4 linked regions of the Arabidopsis thaliana genome follow. The protein of the gene in region 1 binds, or shares a complex with, the protein of each later gene. Each region holds a gene or a part of one and is shown in the gene's direction. Other genes may lie near its edges.

Region 1 (6,488 bases):
ACTTCAGCCTGAGGACATCCAGACATTCAAAACAAGTCAACAACTGTGATAACTCTTATCTACTTTTGTAAACTTAGAATTTTGGCTAAGTTATAGTTACCTCTTCATCTTCCATAAAGATAGCAGATAATGGATCACTTTTGGACATCTTTTCTTGTCCTTGTTGGAGACCAGGAAGCATATCTGCAAGTAGTTAACAATGATAAATGATTAACAACACGCTAGACCAGTTAAAACGTGGTATAACAGAAGTCAAATAGGAAAATGCAGAGCATACGGTGTGACAAGATTATCGGTTTGTTTTTCCTCTTTATGTCATCACAGTATTCTCTCGCTAGCACATTTACTTTTCTTTGATCCATCCCAAGCTGGCAAATATCAGCCTACATATGTAACGAAAATGGTTTAACAGTAGTCACAGAACTCATCAGCCAGATACACAAAATGTAACATTACATTGATAAAATCTGCAATCATATACAGCTTATTTCTAGCCTGGAGCTTTTATCAGGTGTTTTATCAACAATATAATAGACTTTCTGCTGATGTAACGCTTAAGCTAAATTTTTTATTCCGAGTAACTAGCAGCAGAATCAAAGACAGTTCATAAGCAAGCAAAGGCTTAACAGTACCTCAAGGAAAAAAATATCTGCACATTGCATGCATGGGTAAAGGATCTGGGCAGCACTCAGTTCATCAGTCTCACTACGTCCCATAATCTGCACACACCTTCAAGGACAAGAACCAGAGTCATTCAGGTCCCATCATTTCCCTCACATAATTACAACGTCCCAAGAATGGAGAAGATTTAGAAAAGTAACCTTAAGATTCTAGGGAGCTTGTTTTTGCGAGCAATGTCCATCACAAGAGGCCAATACTTATCTGCCTTAGAATTAATTTCTTCGGACGACCACAAAAACTCTACTTTGTCATTATCCATCCCAGCAGCCTTCCATATCTCTTGAAAGTATTCTCCAACCACTCTGATTTTCTTCAAGTCACCACCCATTTTGTTGTTCAACTGAGCAAACCAATCAGCAATCCAAATCTTCACTCTGCAACCAGCTGAAGTCATTTTGTTCACATTGATGACTTTCATCACTCCCTATTAAGAAAACAACAGAACCAAAATAGATTAGCCAACGCTTCCTTCCCACATATGGTAATGGAACAAAGGAAAACTAACAGACCTGAGCAATGTGCATTCTTCCTGATGGTTCAAAGCCGTCGTAGCAAATCGGAGCAGCCTTCTTAGCAAGAAGATTCTTTAGCTCTTCCTCTTGTATACATTCCTCACCGATACTCCTAACAATTTTGTATCTCTTCTCAACTTCTTCACTCATCCTGAAGAATTAGTAAAATTTCAATATCTACCAGACCAATAAGCAGATAACAAGATCTTTTCAATTTTAAATTCCATACTTCTAAATTGCTATAGCTTTTTCATCTCTTCCACTCTAATCAAATAATATAATCCAAATCAAAATTGAAGCGCGAAAATGAAAAAAATTGATGATTGGTAAGAAAACTCACTGGAATCCATCGGACGAAGAAGATGCCTGAGTTGATGAAACGGAAACAGCTTCCATCTCCGACGACAGAGCATTGACGATCTCCGAACTTTGGTCTGCCATCAAATTTAGCCGGCGGCTCCTTCACAAAATTGCGAAATTGCGGAGGATTCTTAGGGTTTACCAGTGGCAGTGATGGAGACAGTTAACGTGCAATATAGCACCACTACGCTTCACGATTTTCACGGTTTGATTCGATTCTCTTTAATTTTGTTTTGGTTTAATCCGGTTACTATAAAAAGGCAACGATGTGTTAATTTAGGAAATAGTTGGTAAAATTTGGAATTTAGTATGGGCCTTAATACTAAAGCTTTAATTATTTAGGAAAGGCCCATTAGATATAAAATAGTTCGGTGGTCTTTGTAACAATGGTGGTTTCGATATACCAAACGTATTCTCGGAGATCATCAGGACTCAACAGCGAGCTTCGGACCCCGATCACGCCGCAGTATTTTTTTTTATCAATTTACCACTCTCTGCGTTGGTTACCTCGCCGAAGACTTCAAGATGTCTGATTCCGACATGGACATTGATGATGATGAGGTCGAACAAAAGGTGCAAGTACATACAATTGTAAGAGAATCTGAATTGTTTGATAAACCACCAATTCAAGCTTCCAATTCCCACAACGGTTAGTATTTGAAATTCGTGATTGGTTACATGGTATTGTTGATTAATTCTGTCAAGTTCGTGTTTTTATTGATGGAAACACCTTTTCCAATTTGGAATTGATGAATTTTGTTCTAGAAGAAAGAGAGAATTGTTAAATTGACTAGATTTAGCTCTGATTAGAGGTTCAAAGACTTGGCAATTAGATTTTCACTGAAGCTCTTTTGTAAAAATTGTGGCTTTAATACCAAGTAAGCAAATTCAATTCTCAGAGTTTTGTGCTTGTTTCTGTAAGGAATCTCTTTTGTTTATTCAAAACAGCAGTTTTGCTAATATGTACTGATTAAACTTGTCTCATGTAGATGTGAAGAGGCATTCTGTAACAACACCTTTAGATGAGCAATCAAAAATCATAAAGGAGCAAGCTTTTGCTCAAGATAATGGTACTTTACCAAGGTATGGCAAAAAAGTTTCTGCTTAAGTTTTGCTGAAACTAAGTTAAGAGGTTGAAGCTTTTATACTGACAAATTCGGTTATCAGATTTCCTGCTCCGGGTATACCGCCAAGAAGCTTTTTCACTGGCGGTGGTGGGAATGAACCAGAACAAAAACGTGCAGCTCTTCCCTGCAAATTTTTTGCTAAAGGGTGGTGTTTCAATGGGGTGTCCTGCAAGTTTCTACATGTGAAAGAGAATTCAAATTGCACTAGTCAACAACTGGCGGAAAATAGTATGGCTGGAAACGGTGGTATCCGGTCTGATCTAGGTACGTTGTACCATGAATACTTATTCTTGTGATTCTATGTGGAGGTAGTTCCAACAATATAGAGGCCGGTGAATATCTATGGGGTTTAATTACTCTTTCTGAATCAACCAATAATTTATTTTGCTTATGTCTATTCAGAAAGAAGAATTTTGGACAGCAGAGAAGGTGTAAGAGTTTCCCAGTTAAGCGAAAACGGTGTGACATCGTTGCCTACCAGAGAGGATATATCTTTCATGAATCCTCAGAGAGTTTTCTCCTCCATGTCTTTTGTGAATCCCCCAGGTTCTCAGAGAGTTTTCCCGTTCAATAACGAGATGCGCTTTATGCCTTCATTTGAAAACATTAGAAGAGAGAGTTTGAAGCAAACGTATGGTGCTGATTTCACTGACAACAGGTCTCTAGTTATTAATAACGCCAATTCCTTCGCATTGAGAAGCAGCTTTGTTCATGAGCATAGACCTTCTATCAGTTCCTATTTAAAAACAGACATGGGATCTGCTGGACCAGCCTGGACAGGATCATTATCCAGTTCTGTTCCTATGAATGATCGTGCTTCTACGGTGGGGGATTTTGAAAATGGGAATAGTTTATCTGGATCCGGATCACTTCCAACGCTGCAAGGGGTAGCTGTTTCTTCTGATAAAGGCGCAGAAGCCAACACTACTAGCACTAAAAAGAAAGTTTCTTCAGATGACTGGGAACCTTCTGAACCTTTTAAAGCATCTTTTACAATTCCACCTTATATTCTTCCCTCGTCTGATGCCCTCTACGATCCTTTCACGGATATAGAGAATCTAGGAGACAGACCTCTTAATGATTCATTGTCAAGTAAAGGAGAACATGCACGGAAAAGTTCCTGCCAGCAGAAAGATGGTGATTCTGCTAGTGGTCCCCAAGCACGGGATTGCAAGAATGATGATAAAAGCAGTTCATGCAGTCAAAATCAACACCAAGAAACCGTGGCAAGGAGTTTGGAAGCACATGGAGTAGTGGAAGGGGTGGCTACGTCAGTGGTTGATCAAAATGATACAGCAACGCCTAGCAAAGAGATTTCTTCGGCTACGGCTGCAGAGAATAGAGTTGTTTTGAAAAGAATCAAACCTGCAGGGCATGATTCTTGGCATAGAAGTGATGGGTCTTCATATAAAAAGACAAAGAAATCAGATGAGATAGATGGTGAAGTGAGGTCAGATGCAGGAATGAAAGTAATGAGACTATTCCGGACTGCAGTTGTGGAAACCATTAAAGAAATGTTGAAACCGTTGTGGCGTGAGGGTCGTCTAACTAAAGACGTGCATAACATGATAGTTAAAAAAGCTGCAGAAAAGGTAGTCGGCGCCGCTGTCCAGTTTCATCAGGTGCCAACTGACACAGAATCAGTTGATCAATATCTTGGTTTGTCTGGAACCAGAATTGTGAAACTTGTCGAGGTGAGTTTCTTAGCTGGAAATAAAAGACACTTAAAGCAGGTAAAAACCTAAGTAGTAAGTATTGCATAAGCTAACAATTCTTATGTTCATTTGCAGGGGTATGTCGAAAAGTATGGTAAACCCTGAGTTATCAAACCAAATGTCACTTGGTGTGGCATGAGCTCAAACTGATGAGATTCCTGTACATTATGTCATCCTTCTTTTACTCAGTTATAGATTTAGTACGTAGCACCTAAATTCTTTGGAACTCCATTCCTATCCTTTACCGATAATGGAATAAGGTTGGAATGGGAGCTTGGTGGAGGAAATGTGTACACATTGTAAAACTCTTCAAAGCTTAATTTATGCTTAAAACAGTTTTCTTTTACCTTTGGGAATATGATTTAGAATGTGATCTTTAGAAGTAATGTGATAAAGAATGGTTGCCTTGGAAGCAGAGGAAAAGAGAAAGAAATGGAATAATGTTGAGGTACGTTTCCTAACTATTTGATAAGTAATTTAGCTTTGTGAAACCAAGATTTTTCAAATTAGAAGTTAGTTTTAGTTTTGTATTTCTCCATCAATATAAGTAAAACCTCTGTAAATTAATACTCGGTAAATTAATAACCTCTATAAATTAATAATTTCTTCCAATCCCGAGGTGAGACTAATGGAAAAAATGACATAAATCGATAAATTAATAAGATAATAATTTTTTTGAAAATCCTATGTAAATATATGGTCTCATTAATATCACAAATTAATAATTGCAGAAATGTATCAACTATATATACATTATATGTAAGAAATTTCTTTAAAATATATTTCTAATATTTTTTTTTGCTTAAATTTGTATTTATTCTTATTTGATATTGAGTTCTAATATTTTATTGTATCAAAAAATTTTGGTGTTGTTTTCTAAATATGATATTACTTTTTACTTGTAATTGATTCTTAAAAAATATTTTCTATAATGAAAAAATCTTAAATTTTTTTTAAAAGTTAATAAATTAGAAAAATATCTCTATAAATTAATTAATTAATCGATAAATTAAAACCTCTATAAATTAATATAATTTTTCGGTCCTAACATTATTAATTTATAGAAGTTTTACTGTAAGTAGAAAGTGGTTTTTGGTTTAGGATAAAGTGCATACGTTTTGTGTACAGTTTTGGAATTAGTTTTATCTTTTTCAAACATTTTAGTGAATCATTTGGACTATGATCATTAGGACATCATGAACTTATTATCTATGGTGGGTTTGTGGAAAACTATTTGATTAGAGTTACTGTTGCTTAATAATATTAACTTCACAAAATAATCAAAATATGTTTGTTGTTCCTATAATACTTTTCCACGAAAGACTTGGGATTCTTTTGATTTAAGGGTCCCTACACTTTATGACTCGTCGTCCTTATCCATATCTCCAGCTCTATACCCACCTTGCATTTTTTTTATTTCCACACTTCTCCCTCACTGCTCACGCTTCTCATGATCAATGGTTTGATCTATATTATAACATTAATGTTATATATTAAGGTCCTTTAAAGTAGGCTTATCCACATCCTAATTTCCAAAGATGGCGTGTATTTTAGCTCTAAACCCTGGAAGTTGCATGTTATATTAAAATGTTGTAAAATGACATATTAATACATAACACACAATTTACAATTATATTATGTATTCATGTTGTTTATTGACAGAGAATAATAACATTTTGGCTAAACGTATCAAATTTTAACGAAAATTCTATGTGCAAGTATATAAACTTCATTTGGTAATTAAGTTATCAATTACTTGTCAATTATTTCTAGTCTATTATAGTATTTCTCTAGATATTTTGTGGGTCAAATAAAAAATGAGAGAACTAGTCGACAAAGGAAAAGAGATATTTTTACGAATAGTTTAAAAATGAGTCTATAAATTAGATGAAGGAAGCCCTTTAGTAAGTACTTCACACTTGACACAATTCTATCCAAAATCAACCCAAAAAAAGAAAGAAATATGTGGGATGAAACTGTAGCCGGACCTAAACCGGAGCATGGCCTTGGCCGCCTCCGCAATAAGATCACCACCCAACCCCTTGACATCAAAGGTATTTATTTTTCTTTGTCAACCATAACTCCGTAATAAA
Region 2 (5,087 bases), 1.5 Mb from region 1:
TAAAAAAGAACATGCATCTCAAGATTAGTTTAATTCATTATATTTAAAGTAGTTCAACCTAAGTGACTAAATCACAATCAACCCCTAACGTAACTAAGTCTACAAATTAAACCAACAGTCAACTACATCTTTTTTTTTTTTGGGTTGTAAGTTTAAATTTACTAATCAACAAAATAAATGATTATATAAAAAAGAACTACAATTTAATATTTATGATCAGCATATTTTTTCTAATGAATTTTTAAATAGTTGAATGACCAAATTTCGATATATCTACCAACATCGTCAATTGATGATTTTTTTTATAACTAATTTTCAGTGTTTTATTTCTAACTTTTACTCTATGTTTTTACGGTAAGATTAGAAGTGTCAAGACTTGGATATTATTTTGCTTTTTATTAGAATTAGTAAATATAAGGAAAACAGAAAGCTAAATTTTTTTAAAAAAAGCTAACTCGGTATTTCTTCTTCATTTTTGTAACAGAAAAACCCCACAAAATTTGTAACTATGCAAAGTCCGAGTGGAAATATAATTTGAGCTTAGGATCATTAAATCCCTATATAGTTAATTAGTACTAAAAGGAATTATAGAAAAGAAAATGACTCAGTTAATAGGACCACTCTAGAGGAAGAATAAATAGTTTAGGTGTTAATGGAGGGATATATTTTAGAATTAGAACTGTCACATTGGGAAGTGGTTCTTCTTGCTAATGTATTTTAGAATCATTCAAAAGAAAGAAGAACTAAATAATTCTCTAAACTAAACATTTAATCAAAATTTTAGAAGACAAAAAAAGAAGAAGAAGAGAGAACAGACATCTTTGGGCACCTCGGAGAAAAATAAGCATGTGAGACTCGATGCACATCATTAAATGCTTTGAGATGACATGGAAGATTCGGTTCTCGGTATTTGCTCTTTTGTTTCTATTTTATTTTCTTACCCAAAGAAAAAAATAAAATCTTTGGAAACGGTGGGGGAGGAGACAAGAAGCAATGTTTGACTGAGTTCAGTTAAAATTTATTGAAGTCTCTTTTGTGTTGAAGAGTTGGGACAAAAAAAAAAAAAAACTTTAAAGACCTGAGGGTTTGGTTTTTGCTTAAACTTTAGTTGAATGAGTGAAAGAAATGAGTTTCTGTTTATGTCGGAATTTAATAAGTCTGTAAGATTCTGTAAGAAACAAAAAGAAGCAATCTGAAACATCAGAGCTTCGTGCTAATCCGTAGACTTGGACTCTAGCTCTTGCCGCCTCGTCTTTTCTTATTTTACAGTTTTAACTCTACCTTCGATATCAATTAGCATATCATTGATTATCACTTTCTGTCAGTAAAAACTTGTATATCGTTAGAAAAAACACTAATAAATGTAATATTTGGCGATACAAAATTAGATTGTATAGGATTTTGTTTTTCTTTTTTTCAAAAATAAACTATTTATTAGAATTTCCAACTTAGACTATATAGTTTCATAATCAAATTTACGATTACTTTTTGTTTTCCATATGAATATGATTATATATTTAAGAATGTTAAAGAAGACTAATTTTTTCATTTATTCCGGTTTGTATATAAATAGGTTACCATTAGATATGTGTTATCTTGGAGTACTCTACAAATATTTTCTTTACCAATTGAATCATTTCAATCTAAAAAAATACTGAACTAATGTCATTGGTGCTATTTATAATTTGACATATAATTTTATTTAATTGTAAAATTTAAATTCTAATCTTTCTATACAAAATTTAAACAAAAATGTAATTAATCTCGTTTAATTGTAAAATCTAAATTCAAACTCTTATTTATAAACACATAATTTATATTTAAATTTTGTTTAATTAAAAGTAAATAGATTTTGAATATTTAAACTAATATGAATATTTTTAAGATGCACATACTTTTTTTTTTTTTTTGGTAAGGTTTAAGATGCACATACTTTCTCTAGGTATCTAGTAATTTATTCCTTCAACGTCTGAATCGGCCTCAAATTTTCTGATTTGGGCTTAGTTTGGTCCAAGTGGGCTTAATCAAGCATATCATAACTGTAGTTTGGGCTCATAACGTTTTTTTTTTTTTTTTTTTTTTGCGCTGCGCAGTTTAGCTTTTGATGGTACGGCTTATTTTAACAACGAACTCGGAATAAAAAAGCTTTTGACAGAGAGAACGACCATAATTCAATTAGGGAAGTACTTTCACAAACCGGAGAAGATTATCGGAGATCGCAAACTATGGCCGGACGAGATCGTTATATTCCATCATCAGCAGTTTCAACTTCATCATCTTCAAGATTATTAGAATCTCAATTAATCGAATCCGATCGAAATCGAGCTCGATCTGTAATCCTCGAGGATCGAATCGCAATCCAACACCGTGAAATCCAATCTCTTCTCAACGACAATCAACGATTAGCTGTAGCACACATCGGACTCAAAGACCAGCTCAATGTAGCTAAGCGTGAGCTCGAACGGTTACTTGAAACCGCTGTTAAAGTTAAAGCGGAAGGAGAAGCTAAAGTGCGTGAGGTTTATCAGAATGCGTTGAGAATGGAGGCGGAGGCTCGTGTGATTGATGGACTTGGAGCTGAGCTTGGTCAGGTTAGGTCTGATGTACAGAGGTTAGGTAGTGATAGACAGGAGTTAGCTACGGAATTGGCTATGTTTGATGATGAGATGGCTAAGGCTAAACCGAATTCGGATCGAGCTATTGAGGTTAAATTGGAGATTGAGATTCTTCGAGGAGAGATTCGTAAAGGAAGGTGAAAATTTGAATTCTCTTTGTTGTTTTTGTTGGAACATTGGATTTGTTATCTTGTAGTGTATACTCATATGATGGTTTTTTGGATGCTTATGGAGTAGTAATGAATTTGTTTGAGGTTTGGGATATGAAACAGGGCTGCTCTTGAGCTGGAGAAGAAGACACGAGCTAGTAACCTTCACCATGAGCGCGGTATGGAGAAGACTATCGATCATTTGAATCGAGAGATTGTAAAACTTGAGGAAGAATTGGTTGATCTGGAGACTAAAGCTAGAGAAGCAAATGCAGCTGCTGAGGCAGCTCCAACCCCAAGTAATTTCTCTGTCTTTTTTAGCTTTTTGCTTTACACAGTTTAACTGCAAAACCACCTTATAGTTTTGATGATTTGTTGATGTAAGGTCCTGGATTGGCTGCAAGTTATGGAAACAACACCGATGATATATATGGAGGTCAAGGCCGGCAATACCCGGAGGCTAATGGTACTCATGAGGTACACATGAGTCTATAGATAAGTAGTAACTTTACGTGATCATCTGTTAGAAGTTCTCCTAATTTAGCATTATTATGGAGAAGGAGAAGATTGGACTAATTGTTTGTAATGATTGGCATACCAAGTTCTGATTGTCTTACATTCTGAACTGATATCTTAGCAAAATAGCTAGTTCTCAGGGAAAAAAGTTATGTTCATAGGTTAGTAAGTGTCCAACTTGTACAAGTATCCGTTGGTTAGTGAGAATTGTTGTAAACTCATAATTGACTGAATTCAACGCTTATGATAAGATTGCGGTTTTACTTTAACATTGTTCGATTCTAGTAGTGTTTAACATCACACAAATATACACTTCAGGCATATAGAGCATCGGATTGTCTCTCTCAAGACCCATCTACTCCATTGCAGCATCCTCTGAATAATACTCAACATTCTAGTGTGTTGTGATAGTGTCTTGCTTACGTTTGAATAGGCCAGCCATATACTTGATTTGACAATTTTTGTTTTAGTGTATCTTATTTAGCGAGTGTATTCAACCAAATAATTTATTTGATTGAAGTTCGAAGAATTTTTCTACTCTGTATTCTCAGTTCGATTTTTGAGGTTTACATTAATTTACATACCTCATCCAACTATAAACAAACAAGGACAAGAGTTTGTGGTCCTTTTAGAATTACAAATTTTTAAAACTATTCCATTTGATTTGTACTTACCAACATATTAAATTTGAATATATAAGGTATTTAGACAGACATATTGATGGTTCTTTGCATGAAAAATCTCTGCTACATTTTGTTAGTGCATTATTTCTCTACAATTTCTTGAATACCAACTGTTTGAAAGAATAAAGAAAAAGGCAGAGTGTGTTTGTTCTGTTCCATGCAACCTCTTACACACTCGAGTTCATCCTCAGTCACGGGCAAACAACAGTTGATGCAATTCCTCTCTGGCAAATTTCTCCACCTTTACAGAACTAACTTCACTTGATTTGTATCAGTAGCTACTGATACAAATCAATTTGCAATCTCCTCCTCCAAAAGTTGTAATAATGGGTGCTAGGGGATAAAAAGAAAGAACAGAGGCATACATCAAAAGCTAGCTTTATCAAACCACATGCACAAAGTTTACTCAAATCAATATCAGAATCAGAAAAACAAGCTTAATCAACAAGTTTACATTAAAGTGTTTCCTTATCATATAAGAAGGGGATTCCTCTTTCTTTTTCCCAAGCCTTCACTTCAATGATTAGATCTTCAATCATGGCTTAGAAAAGAAACACAATACTATCATCTTAAGTCTTTGTTCATTACTTCAAAAAGAGAGGGTAATAGGGTTACGCGTATAAAGACTCACCAGGAATTTGCATGACAAGACTCTTAGCACGTTCTAAGTGTTCGTACTCTCCTCTTACGAGTTACAAGATTGAAGAGGTTTCCATCCTATAAAGACGATCAAGAATATATAATAAGAAATGCTTACTTTAATCAAGTCAATCTTCTCTTGATGTATCACAGGTCTTCACCTACCTTTTCGTAGTCACGAAGCCATTTTTCTTCTTCCTTAGCTTGCTTCCAGGTTTCAACTGCATCTATTATGCCTTTCCTTCTTAAAGCTTCAGATTTTGCTTCCTCATATTAGCATCCAATGCAGCACCAATATCAGATAGAGCACGATCACCTGACAAGATAACTTATCTTTTAAGCATATCTAAATTGCTGTTTTTTTCTTACAAATAGAAGAGTTCTTCACTTACCCTCATTATCAGTTAGCTCAATACTGCCTGTCGAGCTCGACAAAATGCCTTTAACTCGTATTGCTTCTGAAGTACATTCACCTTCAGGGTTTC
Region 3 (6,776 bases), on another chromosome or scaffold:
CTTATAAACACAAGAGAGTAACCATTAGCTAAAATGTACAATTAAACAAACATTGCACAAGTTGTAGAAAAATGTAAAAGCTTCGGATTTAAGCACAGAGAAACGGCAAAACAAGTGAGAGCCAATTTTGCTTCAATAGGAGAAACGTAGTAGTGGCAGTTTTATTTTAAATGTATAAATTGAAACAAAGTGTTTTTCTCTTGAAGCTGAACATAGATGGTTTCACTTTTGTCTCATGTAAATATGGTCATATGGATTTTGCTTTATCCACAAGGTATCACACTTTGAAATAACTAAAATAAAAAATATGAATCAAGAAAATCAATAAGCCGCTACATGTCACTTCCAAAATTATGAAATATGAGATTCGAATCTAAGAGGAGTCTTAAACTGTTAAACAGAGACGTGTTTACAGTCAAGAGAAATTTATAACATGGGACAAATTTTATTTTATTTTATTTAATAGCGTTACAAATTTACAATGATCATATTACATAAGGAGGATACAAAAGTAGAAGAAGAGCTAGTTTAAAAGTCCCAAGAGTCCAACACTGATTCATGACTCATCGTCTCTTCTATTTCTGCGCTTCCACTATACAAATTAGAACCATCGATTATTTTAACCTTTAGTTTTTCCAAATAATCTCTTGAGTTTAATTTAAAAAATAATATTTTCAGGACTATATGTATACCTAAACAGTGACAATGATGTTTCTAAGATTTAAAACACTTTATTACCGAAATATATCTCAAAATTTTACTATTTCAAAACGTTATGTTGCTATTTTATTTTTCACCACATTTTCGAAACATTAGCATACCGTTCAATCATTTGAACATTCCATTGTTAATCTATTATTATTATTACACTAGTCAAACTTACTTCAAATTTATTTATACAAAGGGGAATATATTTTATATAGTTAGTAAAAATCTCAATAATCATTAAAATAGATTTTCTTTGACATATTTCCAAAATTGTTAGATTGTTTGTTTGTTTTTACCTTCTGAAAAATGGTTACCTAATGTACGACGAGGTTTGCCGGGACATCGACGGTAACAATTCTGAAGGCACGTGATCGGAATTCTTCCTGTGGTGGCACAACCTAGAATGCAATCTTCATGGCATTGAGCTTTCGTCTCTCCATTGACATTTTCCATTGCTATAACCATTGTCACCACAAACACCATTATAATCATTGAATTCCATTTAGCACCCATATCTTTAACTTTTTTGTTGTTGCAAGTGTTTCATGTACTTAAGAAATAATGAATAGCTATCCTCTATTTATAATCTTTTCTAATAGTTATCTAATTCTTAGCTCTTATCGTCTCTTCTTCTTATTTGTTATAGGAATTGCTCTTCTTTTTTTTTCCTGGTCAAAGTTTCTTTGTAATAGAGACTAGTTACTTTTTTGGTTAATCTTCTTCTGTTTTTTTCTCTATTTATAATCTTTTCTAATAGTTATGTAATTCTTAGCTCTTATAGTCTCTTCTTCTTATCTGTTACATGGATTCCTTTTTTCTGGTCAAAGTTTCTTTGTAAGAGAGATTACTTACTTTGTTGGTTAATCTTCTTCTGTTTTCTCACAGTTTATTTTAAGTTAATTTGAGATTAAGTTAATTTGAGATTTCATTGGACAAAGAAAATTAACTCTTGAAAGAATAAAAAATTATGTCAGAAGTGGGGTTTGAACCCACACCCTCTTACGAGGACCAAAACTTGAGTCTAAGGCCTTAGAGCATCCACATTGGTCACTTATATGTAGATGTCTTTAAATATAAAACTATAAATAATAATAATAAAAAAATTATGAATGTTTTTAGTTTGAGATTTGTGTTTCTGTAGAGACACTTTAAACACAACAAAAGTGAAATGTCTTTAATTTTATTATTTATTTATACTAAAAACATCTATAAAAAGTTGTCTAATGAGGTTGCTCTTAGACCACTTGACCATCCTAACGGATAACATAACCAATACTAATAGTATCATTATATAACTTACTAAGCATTTTGGAAAAATATATAATTAAACAAGAGTTATGGGTTCTTTACGAAATATTACACAAGAAAGTACCTTTTCTTATAAATACAAGATAGTAACCATTAGATAAAGTAAAAATAAATAAAAAACAGAGAATCTGAAGATCGTAGAAGAAATCGAGAAAACGCTTTGTACCAATTAGAAACCCTAGCGAGCGGAGGAAGGAGACAAAGAACGAGACTTTTGAGAGATTGGAGATTTCAATTTTGAGATCAAATCTTGAAATCAACAAATAGGAGAAAGATTTAGTGATGGGTAAGAAGAAGAAGAGAGCTACAGAGAAGGTGTGGTGTTATTACTGCGATAGAGAGTTTGATGATGAGAAGATTCTTGTGCAGCATCAGAAAGCTAAGCACTTTAAGTGTCATGTCTGTCATAAGAAGCTTTCTACAGCTAGTGGCATGGTGATTCATGTTCTTCAGGTTCATAAAGAGAATGTTACAAAGTATGTGCCTTTTCTTTTTACCCTTTCCCTATGGCTCTTTTTGTTGTGTTAGGTTGATTTGGAATATTAGGGTTGTTGCCTCTATGATCTTTGTTCAAGTTCTGATTTTTTTTTTGCTCTTGTTGTGTGTGATTGTCGTTTGATTTCTGTTAGATTGCGCTAATTGTGACTGTTGTGTTGTGGTTTGAATCGGTTGATTGTGTATGTTTGCTGGAATTTGAATCGTTTTTTTGGATTATCTCTTGAATGGGTTTGGTTAATTTGTATATGTCTGGTCATAAACCCTAATTTCTGATTGCAATTTTTGTAAAGAAACAGTCTTTTGCTTTTGCTTTTGCTTGATAGGTTTTTCTTGGAATTTGTGGTACTGTTCAATGTGTTTGCCTGTTGAATTTGGAATTTGATTCCATGACACTACTAACTTTGAAATTATCTACAATTTTCACACCAGAGTTCCTAATGCTAAAGACGGTCGAGATTCAACTGATATTGAAATATATGGAATGCAAGGAATTCCACCCCATGTCTTGACTGCTCATTATGGAGAAGAAGGTATGCATTTGAGATAGTGAGAGTACTGTTTAGATTATGAGCAATTGATTTAGAGAAGTAAGGCGATAAATTTGTATGTCTCTTCATCAAGTGTTGTAGATCTATTGCATCTAGTGGTCATGAATTCGTTTTGATTTTGCATGCGGCTTTTTGCCTTATCAAAGTTATTATATATTATTGTTATGTTTGCTTGTTTCATATGGTACCTTTTGAACTGAAGTCATGTTTTCTGCAGAGGATGAGCCTCCAGCCAAAGTTGCAAAAGTTGAGATTCCTTCTGCCCCTCTTGGTGGTGTAGTTCCTAGACCATATGGAATGGTATATCCGCCTCAACAAGTACCTGGTGCTGTACCTGCACGACCAATGTATGTACTAATTATACTATACTCTCTCTATGGCCGTTACTTGTTGAATTCTTAGATGTTGTCTCTGTTTTTAAAAATCCGATCCATGCTAAATGATGGGGAACTTTTTTTCTTTTAGTTCTCTTGATGCAAAAGGTTCTTGGTTTCTTTAGTTTGTCTCTGTCCTAGAACTTTTCTACTTTTGTTCTTCTATAAGACCACTATAACACCCGTAGTAAACATTTTTTGAAATAGATCGTTATCTAAGATATTGTTGCACTTAACCAACTATGACCCATAAGGTTCTTAGTTTCCCTAGCTTGTTCTCGTGATTTTTCAGGATAGAACTTTGTCCTAGAACCATTCTTTTGCTCCTCTTCAAGACCACAATAACACCTGTAGTAAACAGTTTTTTGAAATAGTTCATGATCTTAGATATTGTAATATGTATGGCTATTGACCATGATAAAATATTTCGTGTTAGCAGGTATTATCCGGGTCCTCCTATGCGTCATCCTGCTCCTGTATGGCAAATGCCACCTCCTCGTCCGCAACAATGGTATCCTCAAAATCCAGCTCTTTCTGTACCTCCAGCTGCCCATTTAGGGTATCGACCACAACCACTTTTTCCTGTTCAAAATATGGGGATGACTCCAACTCCAACCTCAGCTCCTGCCATACAACCATCACCAGTCACTGGAGTAACTCCTCCTGGAATTCCTACATCATCACCTGCAATGCCAGTTCCTCAACCTCTGTTCCCTGTTGTGAATAACAGCATTCCTTCTCAAGCTCCACCATTTTCTGCTCCTCTGCCTGTTGGTGGGGCTCAGCAACCATCTCATGCAGATGCTTTAGGATCAGCAGATGCTTATCCGCCTAACAATTCTATTCCAGGTTCAATCCCAAGTTCGTAGAATCATTGACTTACATTTGGTTTAGCTGTTTTGTATCAAATTGTAATATCTTTTTCATGTTTTGTTGCCGTAGGTGGGACTAATGCTCATTCTTATGCCTCTGGCCCAAACACTAGCGGTCCTTCAATTGGTCCACCTCCTGTAATTGCAAACAAAGCTCCTAGCAATCAGCCTAATGAGGTCTATCTTGTATGGGATGATGAAGCGATGTCTATGGTTAGTTTATTCCTAATTTCTTATGCATCATGTTGGAATGGTTACAATTGGAAAAGTTTCGAGTAATGAACCATTTGGTTTTCCAATCTGACGCAATGTGTCTGTATCTGCAGGAGGAAAGAAGAATGTCCTTACCAAAATACAAAGTGCACGATGAAACCAGCCAGGTAAGTTCTGATTTACCCTTTTTAAAGTTAAGAAGAGTTTGCTTTTGCAAGTCTAACCCATTCGGTAGGCTTTATTTATACATTTCTGTTCCAGATCCTATTGTTTCTGTGCTAAGAGGTACCACCGTATTATTCAGTTTATAATTTCTTCCCTTAGAATATGATAAGAAGGACTTAGGCAAGAAACTTGAGCATTTTGAATCAATGTTCGAAAGGTATCATTTGTAGCTTGCAATAGTAGGTAGTGAGAAACATAGCGTTTGTATCTGTTTGTTTTTCATTATATTTCCTGTCTATTGTATTGTATTAAAAATGTGGTGATTGGTTCCACAAGATCATACTCTACAGGTTTGGTTTCAAACCCAGGTCAGCTCTTTTTATATTCTTAACTCTGCAAAGTTTGGTACCTTTGCACAATCTCACTGCCTTGGGGAACCAAAACAATACGCACTTAACTCTTTCAAAATAAAGCATCCAACTTCTTAACTCAACACCAAGTTTGTTTCTTTTGGTTTGCAGATGAACTCGATAAATGCAGCGATAGACAGACGAATCTCAGAGAGTAGGCTTGCTGGGCGGATGGCGTTTTAGAATTTGGCACCAAACCAAACCAGCGTCAAAGAAAAGGCGATATGGATGAAGGCTTTGTTACAACAACAAGTCTTCACTCACTTTTGTTCAGATACTGAATTTATGATCTGATTTTAAGTTATTAACTTTCCATCTGTTGTATTCTTTAGCCAGGTGAGTTAGTTTACCATTACATTGTTTAGGGATCTCAGAGATGTTTTTTCTCAGAAGTTTAGTCCTTTTTTTTTTTGGTCGTTGGAGACTTGGAGGAAGAACTTTGTCTCCTTTTCTTCTGAATTGATCAAAGTATTATATTATACAGATTCACCCAAAATGTTTGCACCATGTTGTTCAATATTTTGCCAAAACAAAATTGACTAATATTCCTTCCATTAACTGTATATTCAAACTCCAATTGATACGATTAGTATGAATTTTTGTTGTATTGCTACTTTGCTAGTAGTAATTATATCGAATACAAAGTTAGGGACTACGTTGGATTTGTCAAAAAGTGAGGGGCCTATCTGTAATATTGAGTTACTTTGTCACCACTTCCCCAAAACATCAAAACCTCTAAAACCCTCGGAAGCCTCTTCTGTTACATTTCGTTCAAATCTGTACTTCTCCGAGATCGCTACTTCGCCATTGTTACAAAAATGAAAGCTTTTAGATCTCTACGTATACTAATTTCCATCTCACGAACGACGACGAAGACAACACCTCGTAATCCCCATCAAGCACAAAACTTTCTCCGCCGATTTTACTCAGCGCAGCCGAATCTAGACGAACCCACTTCCATCAATGAAGACGGATCAAGCAGCGACTCTGTTTTCGATAGTAGTCAATACCCAATCGACGATTCCAATGTAGATTCCGTGAAGAAGCCCAAGGAAGCAACTTGGGATAAAGGGTACAGAGAAAGAGTAAACAAAGCCTTCTTTGGAAACTTGACAGAGAAAGGTAAAGTGAAAGTTGCAGAAGAAGAGAGTTCTGAAGATGATGAGGATAGTGTTGATAGGTCAAGGATTCTCGCTAAGGCTCTCTTAGAGGCTGCGTTAGAGTCACCAGATGAAGAACTTGGTGAAGGTGAAGTTAGAGAAGAAGATCAGAAGTCGCTTAATGTCGGCATCATCGGTCCACCTAATGCAGGAAAATCTTCGCTGACTAATTTCATGGTTGGCTCATTTCCTTAATTTCACATTCCTGTGATTTGGTCTCTGAGAATCAATTGAGACATTGTGTATATGTTTATGTAGTGCTGCTATGACTCTTGATTAGTCCTAAAGTTGCAATTTTTGAAGTGATTGTGTATCTTTGTTTATTGCATCTTGATGAGAGTTATGCTTAGTGTTTCGTTATGTCCAAGTGTAGGTTGGAACAAAGGTTGCTGCTGCTTCACGGAAGACTAACACGACGACACATGAAGTGTTAGGAGTATTGACAAAAGGAGATACACAAGTCGTAAGTTTTCTCTTATATATCTGTTGCATATGTAAACTACTCGTTATGGTTAGTTGT
Region 4 (5,109 bases), on another chromosome or scaffold:
CAAGTTAACATCCCGGTAAAGCAGATTTAGGGATGGTGCTTAGCAATGAGAGGTTTCAGCTTCTTCTTGTCAGCAAGAATCTTGAGGAAGTTGAAGAGGAAAGGGACATAGTTGTGTTTCCTTCTCATGTTCTCTTTCTTCCAGTTCTTAGATTTCTCCTCCTCCATTACAATCTTTTGTGAAACAGTCTCTATCCCGATATTGACTTCCGAAAGCTCTCTATCAAGAGCCTCGTAACTGCTTTTCTCAGCGTATTTATCAGCTTGCAAAGCACCTAACTGCTGCAAAACCCTCTCTCGCTTTCTTTGATACTCTTTCAGTTCAGCTACATACATCTCTTTCCTGTTCTTAACTACAGCTAAGAGACTAAACCGAATCTCATTCTGCGAATACCGGTCAATCTGCTCTTGTACCACAGGTTGGACCATTCTGAGCCACTCGATTCCTTCTGGCTCACCCAGACACTGTCCAAGACTAATGGGTCCTTCTTTAAGACCATCGAGCTCATATAAGATACCATCAACAGGTAAGTAGCTGATGTAATGATACACATCATCATCTTCGTCTAGATTTTTCGCAGCAGCTAATTCTTCATCTTCCATGATGGAAGACGGGTCAGGCCTGGCAAATGTGTTGTGAGCTGCACGTATTGCCTCATTGTTGTTGATGGCTAAACCTTTCAGTTCAGGAGGAAATTCTTTGGCGAATTGTTTCAGTTCTGATAGTTCTGAGCCAATATCAATACTCGAAGAGTTCATGAGGACTGATAATATCGCTTGGGTCGCACAAGCATTGTTGATTATCTGCAAGAAACACATAGTTTATAAAAAAGGTAATGATTGGAAAATCCGTGAGTCACAAATCTAATGTGAGAGTAAAAGACCTGGCTTGCAAAGAAGAAATTCGGGTTTGGCTCTGTGATGACAACACGATTCTCCTTTTCTTCTGGACGCCACTTGTAAAGCAATATCAATCCATAGACAGGTCTGCAAATATCAGACAACTCAAGGTAAATTTGACTTTGTTTTTCTTCTGTTTCGAACAATAGAAGATGAAAGAGTAACAAGTAAACTACCTTATTTCATCCAGAGAGTTGAAGTCCAAGGAATACAATTCCTCAACCTGCACACCTTTCACTTGCATTTGTTGTATAATCTCAGTGAAAATACCTAAAAATATAGAATACAGAAAACCAAAAAATATGAAGAAATAACAAACAAGAAAGCGACATTGGTCTTACTCACATATATGGCACAATGGCTATCGAGAGACACTAATCCACTTAGTATAAGACAAACACCATTGTTGATATATAATTTCAAAAAGCATCAATACTTTTATTTTCCAATCCTCACACAGTAAGTATCACCTCTTGTAGATGCAGAGAAGACTATTTTCAACATTTGTTGGCTTCTAATTTGACAAAATCCAAACATAAATCAGATTCTACAGGAAGCCAAGACTATTTTCCAAACATTTTTAGTGCTCCACTATCAAAACCTCGTTACTGACATCATCTCTTTATATATCCAGAAAACAGGAACCCCAAATTGTTAAAGAGAATATATACCAGGATCAGATTCTACAGGAAGCCAAGACATGGTTCAACGATGACTCGCGCCGGTGAAAATGGGTCTGAATTTAGAATTTTCACTCTCAAATTCGCGCTTATCTATCTCCTCCCATCGATTTCATCGTCTTCACGCTAGCTGCAGACTCGAAAGAGAGACTATAGACTGGTGTGGTCTCGATTTTGTCTTAATAGAGGTCGCTCTAAACCGAGTAGAAACGAAATTGAATTCATCCAAACCATTTCAATTTCTATAAATCGAACCAAATCAAGTGAAAAACAATTCGGTTCTGGTTTTATTAAACTTACTCGAACCGAACCGAACCGATAACGTTCTTATATATCCTTGCCGGAGAGAGCCAAAGAAATCTTAGAGATCAAACAATGACGGCGAGTGAGACTATCGCCACCGCGATAAATCAGATTGATGAGAAGAAGGAAAAGCTAAAGAAAGCTTTCGACGATCTTCAAGCTCATCGCTCTCTCCTTTCACCGTCTTTCTCACTTTCCTGGTCTGAGATCGATTCTCACTTTTCCTCTCTCCAATCCTCCCTTGCTAGCCGTTTCCGCCTCCTCCACTCTACATCTCCTTTGGAACATGATTCGTATAGAATCGACGCTTCTGATGCAGGGAAATCGTCGTCTTCGGAGGAGGTATCGGAGCAACCCGTTGTTGAGCCGGAGTTGAGAGCCTTGTGTGAGAAGATTGACGGAATTGGTTTGATTAAGTATTTGATTAGGATATGGGATGATGAAACTCCTCTCAATCAGGAAGTTTCTGCAGCGATTCGTTACTCTCCGGATACGGCGTCCATGGTGCTTGACGCGATTGAAGGTTCGAACTACACACCGTCATCATCGGGAAGATCATTCGATGTAAGGAGAGTTTTCGTTTTGTTAATGGAAGTTTTGATTGAGATCAATGCGAATATCACTGTTGATACGAGAAATAGAGCTAAGAAACTGGCTTACCATTGGAAATCTAAGGTTGGTGTCAAGCCTTTCGAGGCGTTAGTGTTTCTGCATTTGGTCGCAGCTTTTGAATTAGGATCAGAATTTGACACAGAGGAGCTTTCTGATTACGTTTTCATGATCGCTAAGTATAAGCAAGCAACTTTGGTTTGTAACAAGATTGGTGTAGATAGGAAAAGAGTTGGGAAACTCATCAAGACTCTCTTGGATTCTGGTAAACCAATTTTAGCAGTCAAATTCATGTATGAGTGTGGGATGACTGATGAATTTGAGCCAATCCCTGTTTTGAAATCTTACATTAAGGACTGTAGAGAAGCTGCTCTTAGAGTTTGCGTGGAAGATAACTACTCTCTCAAGTCGCAGAACGAAGCCTCTGATAAAGAAGTCAGTGCCTTGAAACCATTGATCAAAATCATCAAAGATCAGAACCTTGAATCAGAGTTTACTCAGGAGAAAGTTGAGGAACGTGTAGAAGAGCTGGAGAAAAATAAGGCATTGAGGAAACGCAACACGACTAATCCTCCCAAGCAAGAGCCACAGCAAAAGGGGAAAAAGCGGACTAGAGACTGCAAAAATGGGTCACAAGTTCCAGTTCCGAGTCAGCAGCTACTTTCTAGACCAGAAGCTCTTCTTATGCCTGAGCATAGTCATCATGGCTTACAGTTGAACCCTTATGGTCTTATGACCTCAGCATTTTCTGGTGTTGTTGTGAACCCATTAACTGGGCTCTTTGGTTCAGGTGCAACTCCTCAATCTCTTTACTATGCTCAGCAAACTGGATATGTGTTGCCGCCTCAATACCACCCGCCTTATTATTCTCAGTAGCTAGCTGCATCTCGACAATAAGATCTTAATCTCCTCAATGTAAAATGTTATCTTTGTAGAATATTTGCCTTGATGGAAAGTAAAAAAATCATTCTAACTCTATGTCTGAGGAATCTCATTCTTTGTTTTTTTGGTTTATATAGAATAGTAGTGAATTTTTCTACAATATTGGATCATGTTTCCTACATTATAGATTCTTCGAAGAATTCGCCTACCCGCCCGTTGGCGTGTCTTCAAACCTCATCACCTTCTATTTCTAGAGGTACCAGTAGCATATGCGCGAGGAACGAGGCTCTCGACGGGCACCTTAATAGCATCCTTTCTCATACCAATATCTGCAAATAGCTGAATAGCTTTGCTGCCGAAAGGACTAAGTTGCGCAAGCCACGCAGCTGCACTCACTGAGCTGGCTTGACCGCCCCTTCCCAACACATAGTCTTTTCCGACCAGCAAGCTTGTTTTACAATATATTGCAAAATCTTCACAATTGTTTTCCAAAGCATGGTAATCACCAAACCCATTCCGCAATAAGAGGTATTTGGCGCGGGAAATGACTTCATCGCAGGGATCCGAAGGTGCTATAGTGCATGTGCCGCGTCGAGGTTTGGCGATAAATGCAGCTGGAGAGACACTGTACTCGAAAAGATAGATGTTTCCTCCGGCGAGAAAGCAGTCAAGGCAAGAAGAGATTACACCTTCGAGATTCAATTGCTCTTCACAATTAGAACAAGGATTGTCTCCTTTATGATTAGGGATGACACTAACGACGATCTTGTCCAAGAAGGTCCCAGTTCCAGTTTCTAGACCACCTCCACAAGTGAAATGAATGACTTTCTCATCGCCTATATATATTCCTGAGGATGAGCATCAAATATTTGATTATCTTTGATGCAATCCGAAACAAAAAAAAAGTCACGTTATTGAGAGATAGAGACTGAACCGTGATGAGAGTAGATATAAGCGTTACGCCATGAATAGATGTGATCTCCTGGTTTAAGTTTATCTCTGGAGATTTGGTTTGAGATAAATCCTATCTTCTCCAGAAAGTGGGAATCCATTTTGATGACTATCTCTCTTCCTAGCTTTGTTATGGTTGTGATTTTATAACCAAAATTTAAAGTCAGCAGCCATATTGTTTTTTTACGTCTGTAGCTGAATGTTTCTTCTTTATTGGCTTTAGTAAAAGGAGTAGTGGTATTAAAATAAGAGAAAATTTGATTTCAGAGTCTTCCCATCTATCTTTGTCAACTTATATCCCCCCTGCACGAACTTTCTTCCCCTACAAGGCAGGAGAAACAGTTATGTGAGTCTACGAAAGTTCCTTTGTCGAATATGTTACTTGTGATCAATATCCATACAGCATAACATAAAATATAGAGTTGGACAATTCAACAAAAGCAGCCGCAGATCCTCTACTTCACAACAACAACTAGGTAAGTTAGTTACTGATAGCTCAGAAAGAGCCAAGAAAGTGTCTTCGTCTTCTACGACGGCATATTCGTGGAAGCAGTTTCATCGATTCCGGCTCACTGAAGCGGCGTCACTCTTAAAACGAAACAACACCTCTGAAGCAGCATAAACCAAAGAACTGCTGGTTTATTTAATCCAGCTGATGACTTTGGTTGGATTCTGTTATATTGTTCTTTCATAATCTAAAGAGTCTTGAAGAGTTCATTTCTTGGACAATTAATGTTACCAAAATTGTATTTCCATTTGATAAATAGTTAAAACACAGTTTTCAC

What was found.
Region 2: FES1 (region 1) and AT2G30120 share a complex: the UniProt entries of both Arabidopsis thaliana proteins name them as parts of the transcription activator complex.
Region 3: FES1 (region 1) and SUF4 share a complex: the UniProt entries of both Arabidopsis thaliana proteins name them as parts of the transcription activator complex.
Region 4: FES1 (region 1) and FRL1 share a complex: the UniProt entries of both Arabidopsis thaliana proteins name them as parts of the transcription activator complex.

The regions. Positions count from the first base shown.
Region 1 is NC_003071.7:14,310,157-14,316,644, reverse strand, and holds FES1 (Zinc finger C-x8-C-x5-C-x3-H type family protein), read left to right. Parts: upstream 1-1,930; 5' UTR 1,931-2,078; coding exon 2,079-2,202; intron 2,203-2,542; coding exon 2,543-2,636; intron 2,637-2,720; coding exon 2,721-2,944; intron 2,945-3,082; coding exon 3,083-4,374; intron 4,375-4,470; coding exon 4,471-4,500; 3' UTR 4,501-4,933; downstream 4,934-6,488. Other genes in the region: AT2G33840 (Tyrosyl-tRNA synthetase, class Ib, bacterial/mitochondrial), read right to left, coding at 1-8, 101-183, 278-383, 633-729, 822-1,105, 1,191-1,344, 1,534-1,634; AT2G33830 (Dormancy/auxin associated family protein), read left to right, coding at 6,359-6,449. UniProt on the Arabidopsis thaliana protein: Transcriptional activator involved in the FRIGIDA-mediated vernalization pathway, but not in the autonomous flowering pathway. Acts cooperatively with FRI (FRIGIDA) or FRL1 (FRIGIDA-LIKE 1) to promote FLC (FLOWERING LOCUS C) expression.
Region 2 is NC_003071.7:12,859,001-12,864,087, reverse strand, and holds AT2G30120 (protein FLC EXPRESSOR), read left to right. Parts: upstream 1-2,116; 5' UTR 2,117-2,225; coding exon 2,226-2,752; coding exon of another isoform or gene 2,753-2,756; exon of another isoform or gene 2,757-2,869; coding exon of another isoform or gene 2,870-2,882; exon of another isoform or gene 2,883-2,887; coding exon 2,888-3,063; intron 3,064-3,149; coding exon 3,150-3,241; coding exon of another isoform or gene 3,242-3,259; exon of another isoform or gene 3,260-3,409; coding exon of another isoform or gene 3,410-3,481; exon of another isoform or gene 3,482-3,598; coding exon 3,599-3,688; 3' UTR 3,689-3,941; downstream 3,942-5,087. UniProt on the Arabidopsis thaliana protein: Transactivator required for FRIGIDA-mediated activation of FLC and for the expression of the repressors of flowering AGL27/MAF1 and AGL31/MAF2. Does not alter expression of known activators of FLC expression.
Region 3 is NC_003070.9:11,039,116-11,045,891, reverse strand, and holds SUF4 (zinc finger (C2H2 type) family protein), read left to right. Parts: upstream 1-2,118; 5' UTR 2,119-2,298; coding exon 2,299-2,492; coding exon of another isoform or gene 2,493-2,496; intron 2,497-2,943; coding exon 2,944-3,044; intron 3,045-3,279; coding exon 3,280-3,409; intron 3,410-3,875; coding exon 3,876-4,285; intron 4,286-4,378; coding exon 4,379-4,521; intron 4,522-4,634; coding exon 4,635-4,832; 3' UTR 4,833-5,207; coding exon of another isoform or gene 5,208-5,279; 3' UTR 5,280-5,617; downstream 5,618-6,776. Other genes in the region: AT1G30972 (Plant thionin family protein), read right to left, coding at 982-1,221; AT1G30960 (GTP-binding family protein), read left to right, coding at 5,915-6,433, 6,630-6,719. UniProt on the Arabidopsis thaliana protein: Sequence-specific DNA binding factor that recognizes the 5'-CCAAATTTTAAGTTT-3' sequence. Recruits the FRI-C complex to the FLC promoter. Required for FRI-mediated FLC activation, but has no effect on the expression of MAF1, MAF2, MAF3, MAF5, UFC and CO.
Region 4 is NC_003076.8:5,342,553-5,347,661, forward strand, and holds FRL1 (FRIGIDA like 1), read left to right. Parts: upstream 1-1,942; 5' UTR 1,943-1,954; coding exon 1,955-3,367; 3' UTR 3,368-3,554; downstream 3,555-5,109. Other genes in the region: UCH1 (Peptidase C12, ubiquitin carboxyl-terminal hydrolase 1), read right to left, coding at 27-803, 884-986, 1,076-1,169, 1,571-1,601; AT5G16330 (NC domain-containing protein-like protein), read right to left, coding at 3,611-4,221, 4,308-4,425. UniProt on the Arabidopsis thaliana protein: Required for FRI-mediated up-regulation of FLC transcripts, but not redundant with FRI and only partially redundant with FRL2. Required for the stabilization of the FRI-C complex.